Neodiprion lecontei: one gene and its partners. The protein of the gene in region 1 interacts with the protein of each later gene in a pairwise test. Links are inferred from orthologs where the notes say so. Each region holds a gene or a part of one and is shown in the gene's direction. Other genes may lie near its edges. The genes, in order: homeotic protein ultrabithorax-like, protein mothers against dpp, protein hairy and myocyte-specific enhancer factor 2.

Region 1 (4,829 bases):
CGAAAATTCGGTTCATCAACCGAGCTTTCCGAGCTGCAGTTCGGGCAGCTAGTGGTGAGATTCCGTGGCGCATTTGCTCGTGCGTATACATAAACGTTTATGTATAGATATATATTTCTCTGTGTGTGTGTGTGTGTGTGTGTAATACGGGTGGCGGGTGGAAGAGCAAATGGGAAGCTCGAGCGGCACGGGAGGCTTATGATGGGCATTACTCGGATCGTTATGGAATAATTTACGAGGTGCGAACCGCGGGGGCGATAATCCAACGACATTTACATCCCAATAAACACTCGACCCGATACCAACGTCCAAGATACGGATGTGTGCGCTGGTTTAACGCGCGTGTTGCGCACACCTACGTTTTCACACATCAATCGGAGAAGCCGCGCACTTCGGTGTAATATGTGTGATACGGATATTATACGCGATGTAATAGACGCGATATTTGTGCGTATAAAGTATATTATATCGCAACGCCGTTGTAACCGTGTGCCGTGAATTTAATGTATGTAATACGGAACCAAGAAGAACTCATTTTTACGACATTTTAATTGTACGGTTGTCTAATTGGCCCGTAAAGCATAAAGTGCTCGTAAAAGCTTTAACGATATTATTATTACCATACGTTTGCCTGCCGCGTTTCGAGGCACGAGACCGGTTATCTCCGCGATTATTTTCATTCAACTGTTTCATTCGCGCCAGCTACACCGCGGTGTTCATTGCATTTTATTTCCTGCGTGTCTTTACCACCTTCTCTCGTTTCACGTATTTACTCGACTTCGTTATCGTGCCGAATTTCCTTTTTTTTTTTCGTAACAATTTGCGCGCTCCGCATTTTTGAACCGCTTGCTCCGATCAGTTTGCCGGAACTGAGAGAAACGGCGCCGAATTCCGTTCATTCACGGCTCGCCTTGTCGTCGCGGCAAAAGCGTCGGCAATAAGAGAGATAGTACGCAAAACGAAATGCGAATAAAGGAACAAGTGCGAGCGTCGATCGTAATAATAGAATTTGCAATTGAACGTCGTTGATGTTGGTCGTTTGAGGGCCGGGATGAGTATGTGGATGTTGGTTCGCGGCTCTCCTCAGAGGTGGCGCCGACGGTGAGCGGTCCTCCACGCGTGACACTCCGCGTGTGAGGTATCTCCCTCCAGGGTGAAAGCTCGAGGGTGGGAGAGGGGCGGTCCTGGCTGGCCTATTGGCGTCGTTCACCCGGGGAACTACTTTCCCCGGGCGTAGTAAGCTCGCAGCGTGGCGGCGCGGCGCTCGTGACGAATTCAATTCCGATTGGTCCTTAAGCAGCGCTCTTCCCCTACCTGCGACCCCATCGGTTCCTTGGCGACTCGTCCCTCTCTCTCGCCGTTCGTTCTCGGTCCTCGTCTGGCACCCAGCGGCGTATCCGCGGAGCGGCGTTCTCGATTTTAATCCGGCGGCACGTCGCCGAGTTTCTCGAGTAGCCAACAGGGGGCGCTGTAAGCAGCCCCGAGCTTTCCGAGGGGGAGATAGATCCAGCGTCGAGGGACGGCCCGGCCACGCGGAGGGGGGCGCGGCACGCGTGCGAGCGAGACGGGACGGTCGCCTTCCTCTTCCACGGGAGGGTCCCGGGGGCTGTGGAGGAGCGAGAGAGAGAGAGAAAAAGTGAGAGAGAGAGAGAGAGAAAGAGCGGACGTACCGAGTGGCGCGGCGGTACGCCGGGCGCGAGAAAAGCAGTGTGCCGTGGACCACCGCACCGGCATACCGTGGCCAAGTTACGATCCCCTTCCCAGGCTGCCGCATTTCGCGTACACCGCACACGCCGCTGCCGCTGCCGCCGCCGCCGCTGCCGCCGCTGCCCGCCCGCCGCCTCCACCGCCTCCGACTCTCACGCAGGGGACAGAACGGGACGGAACGACGCGGCACGACAAGGAGGGACGAGCGCGCCGCGCCAGTCGCGCTCGAGTCCGCGTAAACGATCCACCACCACGTTCGACCGAGTGCTAGTGCAGTTCCGACCGCCGAGTCGCGCGGCCTTATCTCGTTTCACGCGGTTTACACCCCAGCCTGGTGGTACCAACGGGTTCGGTATACATTAACGAGTAGAGACGGGGAACTACGGGCGCCACCTGCGCTCCTGCCGCGTGCTTGAGTCGAGCACCGTTTTTATATGCGATAATAGACAGCGGACTTCCTGTTGTATATTATAATACCTTTCAGACCGAAATGTCAAACGAATCGGGTGTATTGTAATCGCGGGGGTGATATAGAAGTAGAGGAAAAGGAGAGATAGATAGGGAGAGAGAAGAAGGAAGAGAAAGAGGGAAAGATAGAGAAAGAGAGGGAAATCTGGCGTTTGACGAAGGTCGCGTGCCAGGCGCACCGCGTCGCGGTTACCAGAGAGTCAAAGACGAGGAGGCAACTTTTATAGCCCGTCTTATTGCCGGGTTTTATTGCGTCGTTACGATTTAACGGTCGTCACTCTCCGCGTCGAGCGACTCTCCTCTGCCTCCAAACCACCGCAGCACCAGGGTGCTGGCTCAGCCGGCAACGTGGTACCGCGGCCGTCCGTTCACCGATCGCTCGTCTAATCGCCAGAAACGCGTCATGGTGTCCATTCCTGATCGGCACTCGTAGTGGCCCGTTGAGTACCGGAGGGCGCCCGCCGAAACGCCACCGAGACTCTCTCGAAATCTCGGTCGTGACCCTACCGCTCGGTGAATTTTACGGCCACTTGAACGGTCCTTACTTGCCTCACGGAATCCCCGCCACCTTCGCACCTTGCTCATCTGGTTCACCTGTCCTCGTTCGATCGCGGTTCCGTAGAGAGCCGTCGAGCCTCGCGATTCCGTCGCGATCCGTTGTACCAGCTTATACTCAGGAGTGGAGAACAGCTGACCGTACAGACTATTCCTCTAGCCGGGACCAAAGTCCCCTGGCGTTTTCTCGCCTTGGCGGAGGGAGGGTTTAATATTTCCAGTGAGGGTGTCCAGTGCAAGTGATTCAAAATACTAGGAATAATGAACTCGTACTTCGAGCAGACCGCCGGTGGCTTCTACGGTAGCCACCATCACCAGACCGGGGCCGGGGCCCAGCACCACGACCCCGCAACGGCAGCCGCTGCCTATCGCAGCACCTTTCCGCTCGGCCTTGGGATGTCGCCGTACGCCTCGACCCAGCACCATCATCACACGTCCTCCTCCCTGGGCATCCACCCCGGCGGCGGAACGAACACCAGGCCACCCCAGGACTCGCCGTACGACGCGAGCGTCGCGACGGCCTGCAAGATATACTCGTCGACCCCGGAGCACACAACCTCGTCCTACTCGTCCTCGACGGCGAAGGACTGCAAACAGCAGGACCAGTCGGCCCACCAGAACGGATATGCGGCCGTGATGGCCGCGGCGGCCGTCAAGGACGTTTGGCAGTCGGCAACCTCAGCGGCGAACGGACAGAGCAACCCGGTCGTCAGGCCCTCCGCGTGCACACCCGAGGGCACGAGGGTCGGAAGCTACGGCAGCCTCGTGGGAGGCGATCCTGCCTCGAGTCCGGGCAACAACGGCTCCTCGAGATCGTTAGCCTCCTCCTGGAACACCTGCAGCCTCAACTCGGCGGCCAGCCAACCGGTCGCCACCCAGCTCCATCAGCAACCCGCCGCGAATCACACCTTCTACCCCTGGATGGCCATAGCAGGTGAGTTTGTCACGCGCAATTTGCATCCCCGACCTTTCGCCGACCGGTCCCGATCCACCTAGTAGTAGCTGCAAGGGTGAAGAGCGACCGTTCTTAGTCGGAGAGATCGCACACGTGCTTGCCGCGTATAGGTACAATACCTACACTTCGGGGCTTTCGAAGCACGTGGACTCACGCTCGGTTAGACTCGCCGGCAGAGAAAGAGAGAGAGAGAGAGGGAGAGAGAGAGAGAGAGACCAGGGGACCAAAAACGCCTGCTCGGTGAATTCAAAGTAGCCAGGCGACGAACCGGGTAATTTGTGTATGCGAATGTACGCGCGGTTGTGTCTGTCTTTCGCGTACCTAATCGCGTCGTGACAAATCGCTATAGCCAGGATACTTGCGCGACGGCCGGATTTTGTTTGACCGAGATTCTCCACTTTGAATCTCAATAAAAACAATCGGCGCGTCTAGACTAGACGTGGGTGTCTATTCAGTGCCGGAGATAAATTGATCGTAAATTAGTCTGAATTCTGGGTCTCTGGTCGACCTACTACGCCTGCCAACTACCGGCTTGATTCATCCGCAAGAAAAAGTTTCCTCCCGTGAGACCGTTTAATATCCGATATCAATTTTCCCGCATGTCCTGTAACGCAAACCTCCGCGGATTGACGGGCCCTTAAGACGGCGGCAAAACGGAGTCAAGTGCGTGTAAAATTGCCGCCTGCATAAGCACGGTCCTTGTGTATACACGGGAGATAAGTGCTCCGTGGGCTCGTATACAAATGTCATCGTGTGTACGTAGGTACGTGTAATACGCCTATTGTACACAATGCAGGGGATGAGGGCGCGGAGCGTCCAATTGGGGGTTCAACCGATCAACTGCCTTTCTCTTGCCACTCACCCCTCCGGAACCTGAATTCCGGGAGTCAGCTGTTTATACTCTGATCTCAGTCACACGTACGCTGCTGGATGGCCGAGAGTCCGGTCCTTCTCTCTCTCTCTCTCTCTCCCTCTTTTCCAGTATGGGAATAATCACCGCTACACGAGGCTTACCTGTGTTCATCCCACATTCACGCACACTCACGCATACACGCGTATCGAGAGCCCGACTTGATCTCACTTTTCGACTCCTCTCTATACGCCTCTCCGTCCCGCAACCGCGCCGCCGAATTGTTTCCTTCCC
Region 2 (8,036 bases), on another chromosome or scaffold:
TTGCGGCAAAAATACAAAAGCTTCTTGAATCCGGACTTGTAGCAATACATTGAAAAAGACAGGGGAATGGAACAGCCAACAATATCTATAAGAATTTACCAGCTGTACCCGCCTTAGAAGATAACAACGTAATACAATATAACATTCTATCATCGCTGTGTTCCTTCATTACGATGAAGACGGCTTTACATTTAGTTAATGATACGTTAATTTTACAATTTTTATCGTATTCTACATACAATTGGGTGAATGAGGTTTTCGACTCCAGCGAGTGCTTGCCTTTGCTGTTTTGTCTATTATATTGTATTGTGATGCGATTTGCTAGTCAAATCGGTCAAATACCTTTTCTCGATTTTTCAGAAAAATCTGCAAATACGAATTACGAATTTCCCAATGTCTGAAATTGGGCAAGTTTTTTGTATCGGTAAATAATTGAGCTAAAAGGAATAATAAATATTGTCGCATTGTACTTTACTACGAATAGTTTTATTTACTATATTGCTAAATTCGTTCCAAAGTTTACATATTTCCGTGTATAAATTATGTACCCCAAGATGGTACCATGCTGTCTATAAATTGTAATTTTACTTATCTCTTTCAAGTATTCCTGTATTTATTTTATTATTCTTTTCAACCTCGTTGCATAATTTTTCGTCTTCTCCACGTAAACTCGCAAGTGGTAGACTTTTTATATGTTGATGGGTATGCATACAAGCAATCTATCGGGTGACGACTAACCAAATGATGAGTAAGGATATTACAGGAAAGAGAAAAGGAAAAAATAAATAAATACTAATTATGTGAAAAACGGAAAATATACTATGAAATAGTTCATAACGTATCTAATAATAAAAATAAGACAAAAAAATTTTAATTTACTAGCCCATGAAGGCAAGTTCTGTAACGCATACGCTACATTTGGCATTAACATCCGATTCCTCCATCACCTGAATACATGTTGCGAGGGGAGACAAAAAGTGTCGTGTTTCAAGATAATCGAGGAATCAGGTGTAAATACCAGGTGATCTTTCCAAATTTTAACATGAAACTTCAACAGGAAAAGCCATCATATTCATCGTCGTACGTAGCCATTTTTTTTTTTTTTTTTTTTTAGGCAAATATTGATTGCGATACTTTATCTTGAATTGTGCTGAAAAGTAAAGTACAACCGCTTATTATTTATTCCAATAAAGATAATAAATATAAATACATAATGTAAACATACTACATGCATATATAACAACATTATCTATATCTATTGATAATTAAAATATTGTATACACATATTTGTTCTTATTATGCCTCTGATCTTGTAAATGCGTTGCATTGTGTTGTCAAAATATAGCATAGGCAAAAATAGCATGCAATTGCCAAAAATAAATGCAGAAATTGCGTTCTCTTTGCAGAGTTGATCTTACGGTATGACGTCCCATTTCGGAGTTTCGGGGGACTCCGTTAGTGCAGCAAGGCGAGCGATAAGGCCCTGAATACCTTATCATCATCTTTACATACATGCCCTACCAATTGGAATCATCCTGAAACGCCGTCGATGAATTTACAAAACAAGGTCAGCCCGACCGAGATAAAACAGTGGTTTCTTGCATGCCTAAAACGTGCGGAAACGTTTTGCGAGCATGGCAATTTCCTCTTCGACTCAAAATATCAGTCCTTGACCGAAGGCTATCAAAGACGGTTACCCTAATGGGGTATTCGTGCGATGATGGGATTGCGTGTTGAACGCCTCCCGCCGATAAAGAAGCTACCGTATCGTTTTAAACACGGCTTCTCAACGCCTCAGGCCCACTTACCTGCCGATCAATGGTCACGAAAATATGCCCCTGGGATAACAGTCTAAGTTTTTTCGTCAACCTCGTAATTATCAGCGACGTTGAACACCCAGAGAATGCCTACATAAATCAATCGAACCAGTCAATCAGTTTCCCGTTTCACAACGGAGTCGCCAGACATCGTCGAGATCCGCGAACGACTAGCTGCTGCAGCTGCTGCAGTAGCTGCAGTAGCTGAATGCGGTTTGCGGGGAGGGTCTGAAGCAAGCGCAACCCGTGCGGATATTCGATTAGCCAGAGAAGAGCCGAATGAGATGTGAAAAGGGGGGATTCGATCGCGTTGTAATGAGAATTGGTGCGAGCGCGGCGCACACGCGATTGTCGAGTGACGTGCGTCGGCGGTGCGCGCGTGTCGTCGACCGTTGGGTTAGTGGTTGGGATCGCCTCTGTTCTCGGTCACCGGGGGCGCCGGTAGCTCTGGCTATGGCTCTGCCTGTTTGAGCCTTCGAGCAGCGGCGGCGGCAGCATCAGCAGGCAGTCGAGGCAGTGACGCGCGTCGCCCGTAAACACGGCCGCCATAATGCTATGCGACATCATGGACGGTGGTGTGTAAACATTAGTGACAAATAACGTGCTCAAAAATGTGAATCGTTTCCCGAACTTCCGTTTCAGCAACGCGGGTGTTTAATCGTGCGTGTCGGCCAGTACTCCACAGCGCGCACCAGTCTCGCCGAACTCGGCCAGCAATTACGACCGTCGTCTTGCTCGATACCGCGGGTTAATCTTGTGCTTGTGCCCCTCGCGAGCCTGCTAGCCTCGCGAGGAGTAGTCGGTTCGTTCCTTCGACCGAGAGAGCCTAGCGCCGTCCACTGCATGCATGCCCACATTGGCGTGGGGCAGCGGCGACTGATTTCACACAATATCGGCCAGTCTGACGGACGGGGAGCGAATTCCGCCGATAGCCGAGGCGCATCGTATCGCCTACCTGCCTCGCTCGATCCGCACGAGAGTTTAGATCGATTCCGGGGGATTATCGAGCCTGCGTCGATCCTCGTTACGAAATACACGCATATACACGAAGTGAGTGATTTTATTCCCCGGCGTTGTTTTGTTTCGCATCCTTCTTTTTTCTATTTTTTTGTTTGATTCTTCTCATTTCAATATTACTTTACCTTCGCCGCAACTTACTTAACTTTGCGTTTACTTTTGCAATTTTTCTCACTATTCGCTTCTTCTTACATTCTTCTTCTTTTTATTTTCAATCGCCCTTAAAGCAGGGGATCGTCGGATCCTGAGGAGAACGTTGGGAGATTTACGCTACGAGTAACCGCCAACAAACAACAAACGCTCGCCGCACGCACTCTGACTCGTTGCAATTGACAGTGACGTATCTTTACTCGAGGTGCTTCTCGGAACCCCGTCCTTTCGCCAACTTAATCGTCGAAGGAGAAAAACCAGCAACTCGCATTCGCGGAGAGAACGTGAGTAAATGTTACATGTCACGAATTGCCACACAACTCGATTCATTCATACATTCATTCTCTTACGTAGAATATTCCACAGGGTTGTCGTTGTTGTTGTTGTTTTTTTTATCTTTTTTTTCTTTCTTTCTCCGTCGAAGTGTAAATTTATTTCAATTTTTCGTCCCAACAAGTTTCTAAGTGCTATCACTTTCACCCTGCAACGTATATAATATGTATCCGAACAATGAAACGATGCAAATTACATTGGTATACATCTCGAAACTAATTACCGATTTCCGAATGCTAAGAACAAATATCCACGTCCCTCGAATCGGATAATTCCAATATGAATTTTAAAGCCTGTCACTTGTTTTTTCAATTTGTGTCTTACGCTTTTTCATGTTTATTTATTCTCGCTGACCAAATCTTTTACCTCCGAGATCTGACCGTCTTGACCCACGATTTCACCCTGCACGCGGTACAGATTAGGTATGGAATAATTAATTGATTAACCAATTAAGAAACAGTTTCTTTTTCTGTGATTCGATAATTTTATTGTTTACTTTTCAATTTTCACACACGTACCGAAGTATACACGCGAACAACTCGTTACCGCGATTTATCAAACGTACACAACATCCGTGTAATTGGTTTTTTTATAATACGTAAAATTAAATTTCTTTATCGTTCGCAACAGTCTGCCACTATTATATGTACATTACATGTATAAGTATGTATAATTTACAGAACAGCGAGAGAGGGAGAGAAAGAGAAAAAGAGACTCGCGCGACGGATCAAAGAGGGGTGAGGGTAGGGCGGCGATCGCAATAATAATAGAATAAATAAAGAAATTCGATTGAAAGAAATATTCTCGGAACTGTAGTGCCGCTCTGCTCTGCTCTGCCACTTGCCCCGGGTAGTGATTATATATATATAAAATATATATATATGCATATACACTTACACACGTATGCATATACATATATGTACCGTGGTGGTGCAGCAATGGAGAAGGAAGGAAGGAAAAACTGATCGACGAACACGTGTTAATTCGTATACGAAAGCAGCGGGAGTTCGTTTTCAAGTCTCATTTAAGCCGCGTTGTATTACACGCAATAGGGTTCAGACCCCATAGCTCTATGGCGTAAAGTTACGGGGGCGACAAGCGAGTCGTTTCTATCACTTTCGCGTTTTTGTTTTGGTTTTTTTTTATTTATTTTTTTGTTTCATTCAAAGAAGATTGCATTTGCAACCGTGCGACGCGCTCTGTATCGAAATTCCTACAGGTATCCATTGACGAATCGCCGTTCGTAGATATACAGAGTTTGGGATTTCTTTTGCTCTATATTTCGAACGATCGGTCGAATTATTATAGTCGCAACATCCTGTCCGCGTGTAATAATAATACCAGGTGGGTGAGAGAGAAAAAATTCTTGCAGGCGTGAGTCGTCTGGCGCAGTTTTGCGAAAATTTTTCATTTCAGTACAATTTGTTGGAAAGTTGCAAAGCAATATGATGCGTCGAAGGTGAACAGTCGTGTTCTACGTAACGGCACGGCCGAAACTCTGAATGACCGAACGTAATGAATGACGTACGTGTACATGTATTTATACGTTTGTACATATACGCATGCGTTTGTTAATTTCTTTTTCTTTTCTCGTATTATGTTTTATCAATATATTCTTATTATTGCCCATTTATCATCGTCATTTGATTTCGTTGAAGTGCTCGGCAAGTGCAATGACTCACTGTAAGCGGAAAAACGGCAACTGATAGGAAGGGTGAACGAGCACGTTGCTACGCCCGCCCCTTGCCCGCCAACCTTATACTCTACTCTACTCTCTTATTATACGCTCCTCTAACACACTGCGCGTGTAATTTCGCGCCGTTTTTTTTACTACCGCGCCACGTCAGTTACTCTATTCATGTACGTATGTACGTACATAAGTTCCTCTTACGCATATTACACGTAACACGAACACGCGCGGAAAGGCGCACGCGTATCTATCCAACGCTTTGCATTAAACCCTGTTTCATTAAATTCTGCGTATAAAATATAGTGGATTCTGCAGACCGCGCGGTGCTACGCGGAGTACGCAAACGGCGCGCAGAGCGTAAGATCCATACTTTGAACCTCCACGAAATTACGTACTTCAATTGGAACGTGTAAAACATATAATGTATATAATTCTAATTTGGTGTAAAGAATAAAAATAGATCACAGGTGGATCAAAAGTTTATCACCGCGTCGGGGAAAGAAAAAAATCTATTATTCTTACCGCCGACTATATAATTGTTTAATTATAGGCTACTTTTCTCTTTGGGTATATAATCACGTTAAAAATCCGTTGTAAAATTTTTATTTCAAATCCTTCAAAACCAGTTTCTTCAATTCTACGGATCGCCACTAAATTGCGGACAACTTTTGGTAAATATGTACTGCACATTCTACGATCTTTTTCGGGTGTTCGGTTTGCAATGTAAATATTACACATATCACGCAAATATATTTATATGAATATATGTATTTATTTGTAAAAGAAATGCTGACGGTTAGCCAAATGATTAATCACGATCGCCTGCAGATGTTTACTCAACTGCGTCACCAAAAAACACTCATATAATATGAGACAATAGAGCACTCATAGACTATTATTATTATTATTATTATTACTATCATCTGTGAACGAATCGAACGGTAGATATTTGAAAAAATTGCCAGGTCTTCGGAGTTACGAGAATCTTAATTAACGGCTTGCCAACATAATGCGCTGGAGACACAATGAATAACCATCGAGGTATCGAGTGTTCGCAGAAACTTTGAAATTCAGGCATTCGTTCAACCTGTTCCGCAGGGTTTCATTACCTGAGAACGCTCGACGACCCTTCTTCCACCTGACTGACCCGTAACTAATTTGAACCCTGCAATCCCCATCAGCTGGCTATTGTTTTTCCGTAGTTCAAATATTTTTGCAAGATCGTGTCAACCAATGAATTGAATTGTAGTATTTTATGAACAGACGATGATTATAGATGAACACATATTAGAGTTAAGAAATTATCTTTCAACCGAATATGTGACTGATGTAAACAAAATTTATTTGTTTCGTGACGCTTAAACTAAACATATAAAATCTAACCGCGGTGATTTATGTCCAACTTCGATATCTCTAAAACTGGTATCGTGGCGGATTATGGAGGAAAGATGAAAAAATTCTGTTAATTTCTCTAAAGAATTTTTATACCAACGAACAATGCACCAGCAATCGAATTGAACAAAAAAAAAATAAAAATTCCGTTTCGTTTTCAGGTGGAAGGTGGAGACGGACGAGGTCTTAATACTCGCGAACAGGATTCAAACCCCGGAATCGACGACCGTTTTGAAAATATTCTGAGCCAGTAATAAATCGCGATGGACGACGAGGAGGGTTCGTCGAGTTCGGGTCCGATGTCGTCCCTGAACAGTTTGTTCTCGTTCACGAGTCCGGCGGTAAAGAAACTGCTGGGATGGAAGCAGGGCGACGAGGAGGAAAAGTGGGCCGAGAAGGCGGTCGACTCGCTTGTGAAAAAACTGAAGAAACGAAAGGGCGCGATCGAGGAACTCGAGCGAGCTCTGAGCTGCCCTGGGACGCCGAGCAAGTGTGTGACGATACCTCGGAGCCTGGACGGTCGGCTCCAAGTCTCGCACCGGAAGGGTCTGCCGCACGTAATCTACTGTCGCGTGTGGCGGTGGCCGGATCTTCAGTCGCACCACGAGCTCAAGCCCCTCGAGCTCTGCCAGTACCCCTTCTCGGCGAAGCAGAAGGAGGTCTGCATCAACCCGTACCACTACAAACGCGTCGAGAGTCCGGTTCTCCCGCCCGTTCTGGTCCCCCGACACTCCGAGTTTGCCCCGGGCCACTCGCTCCTTCCCTTCCAGCAGCTTCCGGAGCCGACAATGCCGCACAACGTCTCCTACTCGTCGAGCGGCTTCAACTCGGGGACAGGCGTCGGCGTGAACCCGACGTCCCCGCTCTCCTCCGTCGGCTCGGTGCCCAGTCCGGGCAGCACGACATCGCCGAACCCGCAGAGCCCTTACGGTAGTAACGGCCTGCCGGAAACACCACCGCCGGCTTATTCCCCTCCGGAAGACGGCTCGCAACACGGACAGTCGCCGCCTCCTGACGCCACGGCGATGGATACGGGTGGCTCCGCCGAGGTAGCACCCGTTTCGTACCAGGAGCCACCCTATTGGGCATCGATAGCCTACTACGAGCTGAACTGCAGAGTCGGGGAGGTCTTCCACTGCCAGTCGCACTCCGTTATCGTCGACGGATTCACCAATCCCAGTAACAATTCGGATCGGTTTTGCCTTGGGCAGTTGTCGAATGTAAACAGAAATTCGACCATAGAGAACACCAGGAGGCACATAGGAAAGGGGGTTCACCTCTACTACGTAGGCGGTGAGGTGTACGCCGAGTGTCTATCCGATTCGGCCATTTTTGTACAGTCCAGGAATTGTAATCACCATCACGGATTTCATCCCAGCACCGTATGCAAAATACCACCAGGATGCTCGTTGAAGATATTCAACAATCAGGAGTTCGCGCAGCTACTCTCGCAAAGCGTTAATCACGGATTTGAGGCCGTCTACGAGTTGACCAAAATGTGCACTATTAGGTGGGCCGAGAAGACCTGTTCTACCTATTTTGTCTTTATTAGTAGCAGAGAAAACCCCACTTTCAATAATTCCAGTCGAGCTCACAATCTCAACTTGAATTCTTATTTTTAGGATGTCTTTCGTCAA
Region 3 (5,817 bases), on another chromosome or scaffold:
ACGATGCGACCGCGAAGCTGAACAAATCAGCCTAGCTTGACTCGGGTGTGTATAGTACACGACCACAACGTCCACGGATGCGATAATCGTGAGGTAACCCGGACGTCGAATATCGATGCGACGATTAATCTGACGCGAAAAAAGAAACTCCAGGGACCCGGTACAATCAGAATCGCGATAGCGGACGAGAGACCCGCTCGTTCATTCCTCGTTAGACGGATCGACCCGACAGCCCCGCAGGCGATGCGTCGATTGCCGTCGATGATCGCATGAGACGATCGTACAGGTACGACCGGCTAATGACGGAGAATTTATCGCCAGCGTAGGTACGATGACTCTTACGATACCCCGTTTCAGCTGAATTTAATCACGAAGCCAAACCCAGCCCGTTACAATCTCGGTAAAGAGAGTATAACACCTGTAAGGGCGAACCTTGATCGTAGAAGGGTTAAAAAGTCTGTAAGAGATAAAAGTCGAAGTCCTTCAACGGAACGCAAAGACCCACCGATATCAAATATCGCGACCACGTAGCCCGAGCGCCAGAGGTCGAATGATCGTTTCGCCCCACCACAGACCAACTAAGCGGCACGCTCGACGCGAGTCGCGCTCGGTGAGTGGAGGGGGCGGCGTCTCGGCCAATGGGGATCGCGGCTGGCGTGCGACGGATCGAATAGGAGCTCGCCGATTGGCCGGTGATGTTTCGCGTCTCTGTCGCTCGCCCGTCTCTCGAGCTCTCCGTCGGCGCGTAGCCTCCCCCCTCCACTTTCCCAAGCTCGCTATACTTGCTCCTCTCACTCTCCAGCCTCCCCTCGACGCGTGCGTTTATCGCCGTCCCACTCGCGCCTCGGATGCACCGCGTTATCTATTTCGCTCCGGGGGTCGCGAGCCGCTTCCCGGCGCGACTCGCCCTCCTCCGACCCCTCGCCCACGTGCACGAGACTATGACGAGAACGATGCAAGAAACTCCGCACGACTGACACACTCAGAAGGAGAGATCAGCCAGCCTTGTTGCGTGCAATCCGGTCCGTATAAACGCCGAGTAGTTTGAGCGGTGCCATGACGAACCGACGAAATTGTAAACCTTGACTTAGGCTGCTGGTACGATTCCGCGACGTTTTTACCAACACACCGGATATCGCGATAACCCCGCTCGTATTACTTATCGCGTCAGTGAATCACATCCCGAGTGCAAAGAACTCCGATCAACCGCAAAGAAAGCAGGATTTCCTAATTCTCATATTCTCGCGTAACCGAGTGCTCTGCACGCGACTATTAATAACGCGGCTAAAGTACGGCGTAGTTGGACGATTCACGATGTCATGACTAGCAATTACACTTGGCGGAAAAACCGCTTCATAAACTCAGACTCACGATTATTCCGCAAAAGACATTTCTCGGGGATGCCTCGAGCTTGCTACATTATTCCGCGTGTCGCGATCCCACGCGATTGTCGATCTACTCGCACTTGCGGAATATTCCAAACACCGGGGAAACGAAACACGACCTACAGATAAGCCGCAGACTGCCGGGAGTGCAGGTATAGTAGAATGTGTAGTAGGTAAATGTGTAGATATGTGCGGATCTCAAGGCAACCGCAAAGCTCGACGGCCAGACGCGTCAGGACGAGTCGCTTCGAGCAGGCCGGAGGTGGGGGTCGAGAAGCGTGCAGCCGCGCGGCGCCGTCGGCCAAAAGTGGCTGCGGAGGGGCAGGGCGGGGGGGGGGGGGCCCGTTTCCCCCTCCCAGCGGTCGAGGACGGTCGGCTCGTTCGAGGAGTCGGAGTCTAGAGCCAGAAAACGTCGGACTGCAGCGAGTACGCGAGTCAGTCGAGCTCCGATGCGCTCAGCGACAGGTCGAGCCTAGGAGCGATCTAGCGATCTGGCAATTGGCCGCGGATGATTGAAGCTTCGACTTCGATTGCAATTTACGATAAAGAATTCCAAACTTTTTCATTTTACGAAATTGACCACCGATCGGATTACGGGACGAGTGTGGACGTTAACGAAAAAGAAAAGAACGTGGTTTTTAAGAATTTTTGGTTTTTTAATCAACAAAGTGATTCGTTCGCCGTCATCAATCGCCGTCGAAGAAGCTTTGGATTATTTTTACTACCTACCTGTGAAGTGTGAAATAATATATTAAATAAAAACGAAAAAACATTGTTTTTCAAAATAGTGGAGAGGATAGTTAAACTTGATTAAAACGAGATTGTATACGCCCGGTTTCGTCTCTCTGAGGTGAGATTATAACGTTTAAATCATGGTGACCGGAGTTGGTGCTACGATGCCAACCGGAGGTGTCACGGTGGGCTCTGCGCCACAGACCCAACACGTGCCTCAGGAGGCAGGACAACCTCCTGCTCAGACTGCGACTTCAACCACCAGACGATCCGGGGAAAATCGACGGGTTAGTGTCTCTTCTATATGTTCTCGAGATAATGGGAAACAAAAAGAAATCTTAAGAAATCTAGCGAAACATAAGGAATAAATTCGATAAAATCTTGAGCACGTTTCGGAGCTGTTGGATAGCTAGTTCGAAAAGAACACCCTAAAATCCCGACAAGGTTCTTGAAACGTTCCGATCGAGTCGTATAACCGGTTGGCTGGTCAAGAAATTGGAAAGATGGCAAGAATGGTCCGACTTTTTGCCTTTCGATGTGAAAAATTGTTCTCGTTTTTATCAGCGTTGTTTCTTCTTTTTTTCTTTCTGATCGAAATTTCAATCACTCAAAAGTTGCGAGATCCACTCCGCGTCTTTTCGGAGCGAATTATTCAAGGGTGTTCAGTTGGGTGCGGGTTAACGGAACACATTTGGATTTTCATTCTTATTTCGATTTTACGGAGACACCTGCAGCTTCTGATTTCTAAGAGTCATTGAACCGACGGACACTTGTCGTCTTTGAGGCGAAAATGTCTAGCGCTCGATTCGATTGTAGGCAGGCTGTTAAAGGCGACGCGTCCAAGTGCCTAGAGAAAGTAGAACGTCGCCGTCGGCCGGCTTTAATACCGCGAATAATCCCACCGGCCGGTTTCTTCTTTTCCACTGCTTTCCGGGTTGAAATTTCCTGTGCCTATTTTCGTTTTATTTATTTATTTATTTTTTTATTCTTGTAAGCACGCTTTAAATTCGTGACCCTGAAATTAACCGACGATGATGTTTTTTTTTAATTACAGAGCAATAAACCGATAATGGAAAAACGTCGTCGGGCTCGGATTAACAACTGCCTGAATGATCTGAAGACCCTGATACTCGACGCGATGAAAAAAGACGTAAGTATCTATAATTTTCGAATAGCTCAGCAGGTGAAACAGGCGTGAGGATTAGTCCTGTTCTCATTCTGTTTCTTCCGTATCCTTTCCTCTGCAGCGACAAGACTGCATTCGACTAACCACCGTGTTTCTCCAATTTCTGATTACAGCCAGCGAGACACTCGAAGCTGGAAAAAGCTGACATCCTCGAGATGACGGTAAAGCACCTGGAGACGTTGCAGCGTCAGCAAGTAGCTCTTGCGGCGGCGACAGACCCGAACGTGCTGAACAAGTTCCGTGCCGGATTCACAGAATGCGCAGGAGAAGTCGGCCGGTTCCCAGGCCTCGAGGCGTCGGTGAAGCGACGTCTGATGGCGCACTTGGCCTCGTGCCTGGGCCCCGTCGACTCGACGACGACGTCGAACGGCCAGAGCGGACAGCAGCCGGTGCAGCCGGCGGCGCCGGCGACCCAACTCCAGGTCCACATCCTGCCGCAGGTCGACGCAACACCCAGGATCCAGGTCCAGCAGTCGAACGGCATCTTCTTCACGAACGCCAACGGGACGGGACTCCAGTTGGTACCGACGCGCCTTCCCAACGGCGACATCGCCCTCGTTCTGCCCGCTGGCGCCAAGGCGACACCCGTCGCGTCACCGTCGGCATCGCCGGCCCCCGCGTCGCCTTTACCCACCCTGATACCGATCCCCCAGAGGACGGCCTCAACCGCGTCGGCATCCTCGTCCTCTTCCTCGACGAGCTCGACCTCCACCTCGGCCGGCAGTCCCGTTGCCTTTGAGGCGCCCCCGCCCACATTCAGGGAGCAGAATTCACCCTTCACCACCACCGCAAGCCACAGAGACGTCGCCACTTCACCGGCGAACGGATACACCAGCGACCCTGAGTTCGATCCCCGGGTCTACAGTGCGCCGCTGCAGAAACCTCTCGCTCTCGTTATGAGGAAGAGCGTCGTTCCTGAGGTCGAGGACAAACCCTGGAGACCTTGGTAAGGAGGAGATTTATCGAGGATTTACCTTAACGCGCCTGTGCGAATCGAGAGATGAGAGAATATCGATGACTTGGGCTTCCCCGACAAAGACTAATTGATCTTCGTTTTTATTTTGACTTTGATTGGTTGTTATTTTTTTTTTTTTTATGATTTTCATTCATTTTCTTATTTCCAACGAGAATGATGTAACGACTTAGAGCTTAGGGATGTAGAGAGTGAGTGTCTCCGCGATGTCGGCCAGTATAATAATTAACCTGTTGGGCAGTGCCTTGAACAGTGCCTTTGTTGTAGATCGTGTATCTAGAGTTGTTTTGTATATATAGAGATATTTGCCACTTGTGGACTTTAACCGAGACTAATTGACGATGGATAAGAGTAAGAAGAAATGAAAATATAAATGTGTAATGGTTTGGTTTTTTTTCTACTAACGGTTCGGAAACCTATTTGATTGAAATTCATTTGAACCTTGACGATCCGACAGTTTAGAAATGTAAATATAGTAAACTGTAAAGTGTAGGTATAACGTACGTTATTGTACCCCCGTCACCCTCTACGATTATTAAACTATATAAGTGCCTTACGCAACAAGAATCACTCAAGTCTTCCATTAATAATAATTAATACCTTATATGTTTCTTGTGTACGTAAATCGCGCTGCAGAGAAAAAAAACGTTTAAACAGAATAAAAATAAAATGTGTAATAACGTTGTGTAAATTATAATAGATGTATAAGAATTTTGTAATTAATTTGTTATGATTATCCGATTAGACGGTTTAGTGATGTAAGAAATTGCGAGATACGACGAGAAAAAGTTGACGAAAGAATATGTAGAGGAGAGGAGATATAGGTAGATAAGAAAGAGAAAGAGAGACAGAGAGAGAGAAAGAAAGGACGTATGTAAGAATGTTTTATTTATATTTATGAGTGTAAAAGATTGAGTTTATTATTCCTGTCTATTATGACGATAGAAAAGCACGCTTATTACAACAAGAGTGTCAAATAAATTGATCTCTTTATTAAAACCTTTAATTTGACTCGTCAGTTCAACCCCATCCGCCGCACACCTCCTTTCCCTTTGTACTTTATACTCCGACTCTGACGTCTTCATATCGTTTCACGAAGCCGATTCAGGCTCTTCTACTTGAAAATTCCAAAAAAAAAAAAAAAAAACCACGACGTTTCTGTAGTATTAGAATTCGTCAAACTATCCGAAAAATATATTTACAAAAAATGATCGGTCTGCAAAGTGCCATTAAAAATTGTTCGCTTCTTGAACAAGAAATCAGCTTCCTTCGGTCCGGTTCGCCGCTCGCATCTCACACACGTTGCACGTCTGGAGAGCGACTAACCGCGAGTTAAGTCAAGGACCCATCTTCTCCCACTCCTCGGCGTCCGGCTCTCGGTGAGCACGGTGCGCGCCTTTCGAGCACCAAAAAAAGTCCAGCGTGCGTCCTGCCGCCGAAACCCTTTGCAAGGACTTGCTGCCGCCTGGCGGGATGACGCGAAACCCTTCAGAGCCCGGATGTCTCGCCGAGGGTCCTGGCATTCTTTTTCGTCGACGATC
Region 4 (4,705 bases), on another chromosome or scaffold:
TATCTGTAGCTGTGAGAGGCAGCGACGAAGAGAGACCACTTTATGTCAGCAGCGACAAGATCTCGCTCCAAAATTGTTTTCAACAAGAGTACTTTCTTCTTTGGGCATTCTTCTATCGTGAGCGATCCGAGGGGCGGAGGAATAGTCTGAGGGTCGAACCCAAGGCGGCTGGTCGAGCTGCAACAGTCCTCCTCAGGGTCGAATTTCACCTTTGCCTTGAACTCGGCATCGCCGCTCGTCGCGTTCGTCAAATTCGCCATTTCGCAAGAGGACAACGAAAGAATGTTCCCAGCTCACACCGAGCCCTGAATTGTCATCGCATTCGAGGTGGAGAAAAGAAAAATACCGATACCACCTGAAAAATTTATCCCGGTGAACCGACACCCTGGTATCCACCGACGAAAATAAGTATTCTAACCTCAAAGGGTCGACCGACAGCTGCACAAATTCGTCTCCGTCAGCTAACCTGCATCAGCAGAGGCTGTGATGACCGACGTTTTCAGCACAGACTGTATTGTGGCTCCGCCGGTCAAATTTTTGAGATTACAATACCTGAGAAATATATCGCGGTGTAAGTTGTGTGATAAACGGTGCGTGCGTAACAAGGTTCTAAGGCAAATGTTGATGCGTGTAGTTTGTGGGGTATTTTTCTTATCAGTTTTGTTTGATTGTTTTCATTTGATTTTCCGTGTCAAAGAATTGGATTGTGATCTTGCTTACGTCTTCGTTCACGAGGAATTTATTTGGTAAAAAAATTTATTATGTATATATGCACAATTAATCTTTCACATATTTTCACCAGGGTGTTTTTTTTTTTTGTTTTTCCACACAACGCCGGTATTATACACGCGACGATCACGCAACTTTTCGCATTTGTTTCTTATATCTCTTGGCCCTCTGTTAAATCGTTTGAAAAAAGACAATAACTGTAATTCGATAAATGTAATTAAATTGTATTAGATCGTGACAGTTAGCCTGCCTGTGTAATTTTGAGAAATGTTACGAGAAAAATCTACCCATCGATTGTTCGTTAATTTGTATTACACATATATTCGGCATTAAGACGTTTCTTATTTTATAGACTTTCGATTTGGAAACCAGGTGGATTAATATTAAACTGACTTTAGGTATGTCGTTAGTTTCTTGCCCTTTTTTCCCGTTGGAATTTAAAGAATAAAGACTAACTTTAGTGGCGATAGAAGAAACAAACAAGAGTATGTATATTACAGGAGATCAAAAGATTCCCTCTGTAATATAATTCTGATCGTTTGATGGTGGTGTTAAATAATGACAACGCCAAAGATAATATCGTATCGAAAAAATTGAATAATCGTGCGTTCACGTACGAGTCGTTCGAAAAATCGGACGTTTTGAATTTCTGCCGCGCTAAGCGAGGCCTGCGCAATGGATACACATTTATCGACCGCACCGCAATTATCTCTAGAATACGGCAATCGGCCGCGCGCGAATAAATTCCCCCACATCAGCCTTACAAATTCCCCGAGAATAATGAATTTGTTCAAAAGTAACAAGGGGGTAAATAACCGGAATAAAAGAGTGTGATAACAGTGAGTTTTGTCGAGGTGATTCGCGAGGGATATTTACAAACGAAAATAGTGCAAATTGAGCGTGACCAGTCCGACAACAACGTGAGTATAATATTATTCGAAAAGTATGTTCGAAACATATGTCCAACGAAAATCCGCGTACGGATTTGTCGACGGCGGGTTGGCCGGACTGCGGCTCAATGTCATGCGTTCAAGGTAAACTATCGGTGACGTCAGTGGACGTCACTTAACAAGTGGGAGTGTATGGAAGTAGCCTCTGGGAACGGTTGGTTTTCGGTCGACGTTCCGTAGTCGGTCTCGAAGTTGAAGAAAAATCTGAACCGAGGTGACCGAGAGGCGGGCGAGTCGTTTCGCGGGACAGCTATGTAGACTAGGGGAAAACAATTTTCTGTGTTAGTTTACACGTGGTGGTACGTTATGAGCGCGTTATGTACGTGGAAAATCACCGAAAACAAATTGCGCATGCCCCGCGCCCGATGACGTCATGAAAATTGTGGTTTTGATCAAACTCCTAGCTCGTTGATCATGGTTGTTCTTTTTTTTTCTTCTAATTTCTTTATTTTTTTATTATATTTATTATTTTTTTGCTTCTCCGTATCTTAAATTACACACACACATTGTATATGTATATATAGGTACATATATATATATATATATAGGTACGTACATAATATATAATACACATATTCGCAAGGTGTATATACAACGATATATCTATACGACGTACGTGTACACAGTGGAGACATAGGTATACACATAAACGCATACATACATATGCATTTATATATATATATATATATACATGTGTATATATATACATATACGCGGTATATTTGTACACATAATATACACAGGTTTGAAAATATATTAAAAACAAATAAATAAATAAACACACTCACACGGTTCCAACATGTTGACGTACAAAGTGATATAAAATTAAGAGAAAATAATAATAATAACAATAATAATAATAAAAAAAAAAAAACCTGGTGTTAAGTTTTTGTTTTCTGTTTTTAACTATAAATATTATTATATACATGAAAGACAGATTAAAAGTCGAAAGGATAATATTGTGCACCTATACCAGAGGGGAACTTGCGACGGAGAGAATCGATTCTCGTTCAATATTCGTGAGTATTATTTATTATTGACCCCCATTTTATTCGCAAGATATGTACATGATACAGTATTACCTATGCCTTCGTACATAAATTCGCGTATATTTACATGCGCGTATATCATCGGCTCGTACACGGATACCGCATGTCCGGTTCTCCGTGTAATTTTTCTCAATACTCGTGCTACACCGTAGTAACAATCATTACAACACGCATGTATTTGTCCGTGGACTTTTTCACGCAACGGCGTCGTCGGCTCTCGTACCGATCCGTCGTCGTCGTCGTCGTCGTCGTCGTAGACATGTTGTATCGTGTTGGAACGACATGGCCTTCACACATACGTACGCATGACATTGAGTTTCCTTTTCGGTAGGTAGCGAAAATAATGATTCTCACCAGATACGAGAGGAGAGAGGAAAAGGAAAAATTTCAGATCGGCTATAAACACGTCAATTATTGGGTGGATGAGAAATACGGGAAAAAGGGGGGAAACTGGAATTGATGGAAGTTGAAGATAAATTGCTTCGATTATTGGTCAATAATCGATGCAGCGCTACAATTTCAATTACAGTTTTCACAAACAATATATCCCAAGTTACATGTTCACGACGGTGAATATTGTCGGATCGGAGTCGACTGAGCTGGTCGTAAATTTACCAAGTCAAACAACAAACCCAGCGGCAGAAGTTCTCTTATTTTCACACACGTTGATACATGCTAGCGACTGCGAGTTACATGTGTCGTATGCGCATAACAGAGTAACTTCGGACGATGTGTGTAGATCGATTGTTAACACCGCGCGCGACTTTGGTGCAAAAAAGTATCGTCGTCGCTTACCTCCCGTTTCTCACGTCGTTTCTCAATATTTGCTCCACATTTGTCTCGAAGAATTTCAATATCGTCGCCGTTACTCGCAGTCGAGCTTAGTAACTTTGCAACTATTATATAGTAGTTTTGTTGATTGAAGACTGATTGTATTTTGTTTTGTCATTATGACTGCGAGAGCGAATTTGTTCGTGTACTTGACTCCTCGACGGTGTTTACTTTGCCTCTTACCTCTGTTTGCCACCGTACTAAACATTGTTTACAATACATCGTATGATTTATCTCCCACGTAACTTCTTTTCCATAACTTTATGGCGTTTCTATATTCCTTTTTTTTTTACTTCCCACCCTTTCGTCGTTCTGTCTGATAAAATAACAGCCCAACGTAGCGAATTTATTCTCGGAGTGCATCTCGGTCTCAGAACTTTGTTCGATCTTACTTTCCCATCCTTCACCAGTCGATACCAGTTACACATTTTTCATTCGTTTGTACTCTGGCGTCGATTCAGTTTGTAAAAGTTCTCTTCTATCATATTGCAAGAAATCTGGAGATAGGCGTTGAATCCGATTGAACCAATCGTCGAGTTCAGATTGTCGATACACCTTCAGAAGTCAATTTGTACTCAGCTGTAAGTCAGTTCCGATGTCTGAAACTTGGAAAAAAGTGTCAGTCTCTAGAATCTCAGTATTCATTTGGTCACATTAAGATTTTTCGCATCGAAAAGTGATTTTCTTTTCTGTCTTATCACGTTTCTCGAGTATTGCAAGTTACAATTGAATAACTAAATTCATTATTTCCAAGTTCAAGTTGAAGCGTAATTAATCGTTCGGCAAGCACAAGGTTTACGCGCTATGGTGATTCAGAGTTGACGATCTGAAAGGAGTTGAGAATATTTTTTTTACGATGAACGTGCAGATAGATGTTTATCAGTTAATTTATAACACGGTATTAAATTTGCGTTACCTGTTCGTTTGATCTGTAATCAAGATGTTAATTTTCTTCTCTTTTTGTTTCGTTTTTTTTTTTTTTTTTTGCCTTTTTTTTGTCATTGGTGTTACTGCCATTATTATAATTATTACAATTTTTATTATAATTATTATACGTTCTTTATTTATTTTTTTGCCTCGTTACTTTATTTATTTTAAACGAACGTGGCCGCCGTCGCCACCTAGAATCGAGCTTTCAAGGCTCTT

What was found.
Region 2: the proteins of homeotic protein ultrabithorax-like (region 1) and protein mothers against dpp interact in a protein complementation assay, tested with the Drosophila melanogaster proteins (2 studies listed by BioGRID). The link is inferred for Neodiprion lecontei from reciprocal best matches to the Drosophila melanogaster genes Ubx and Mad.
Region 3: the proteins of homeotic protein ultrabithorax-like (region 1) and protein hairy interact in binary tests that used the Drosophila melanogaster proteins (3 or more experiments, as listed by UniProt). The link is inferred for Neodiprion lecontei from reciprocal best matches to the Drosophila melanogaster genes Ubx and hry.
Region 4: the proteins of homeotic protein ultrabithorax-like (region 1) and myocyte-specific enhancer factor 2 interact in a protein complementation assay, tested with the Drosophila melanogaster proteins (2 studies listed by BioGRID). The link is inferred for Neodiprion lecontei from reciprocal best matches to the Drosophila melanogaster genes Ubx and Mef2.

Annotation. Positions count from the first base shown.
Region 1 is NC_060260.1:3,090,406-3,095,234, forward strand, and holds the start of homeotic protein ultrabithorax-like, read left to right. Parts: upstream 1-1,803; 5' UTR 1,804-2,991; coding exon 2,992-3,664; intron 3,665-4,829. UniProt on the Drosophila melanogaster protein: Sequence-specific transcription factor which is part of a developmental regulatory system that provides cells with specific positional identities on the anterior-posterior axis. Binds the consensus region 5'-TTAAT[GT][GA]-3'.
Region 2 is NC_060262.1:38,138,922-38,146,957, reverse strand, and holds the start of protein mothers against dpp, read left to right. Parts: upstream 1-1,997; 5' UTR 1,998-2,867; intron 2,868-3,061; exon of another isoform or gene 3,062-3,064; 5' UTR 3,065-3,268; intron 3,269-6,560; 5' UTR 6,561-6,662; coding exon 6,663-7,909; intron 7,910-8,021; coding exon 8,022-8,036. Other genes in the region: stress-induced-phosphoprotein 1, read left to right, coding at 1-53.
Region 3 is NC_060261.1:36,901,504-36,907,320, forward strand, and holds protein hairy, read left to right. Parts: upstream 1-1,741; 5' UTR 1,742-2,257; coding exon 2,258-2,404; intron 2,405-3,171; coding exon 3,172-3,267; intron 3,268-3,416; coding exon 3,417-4,253; 3' UTR 4,254-5,282; downstream 5,283-5,817. UniProt on the Drosophila melanogaster protein: Pair-rule protein that regulates embryonic segmentation and adult bristle patterning. Transcriptional repressor of genes that require a bHLH protein for their transcription (e.g. ftz).
Region 4 is NC_060264.1:25,820,319-25,825,023, forward strand, and holds the start of myocyte-specific enhancer factor 2, read left to right. Parts: upstream 1-1,689; 5' UTR 1,690-2,096; intron 2,097-2,422; exon of another isoform or gene 2,423-2,616; 5' UTR 2,617-2,698; intron 2,699-4,705. Other genes in the region: protein mono-ADP-ribosyltransferase PARP16, read right to left, coding at 1-260. UniProt on the Drosophila melanogaster protein: Transcription factor that could be a key player in early mesoderm differentiation and may be required for subsequent cell fate specifications within the somatic and visceral/heart mesodermal layers.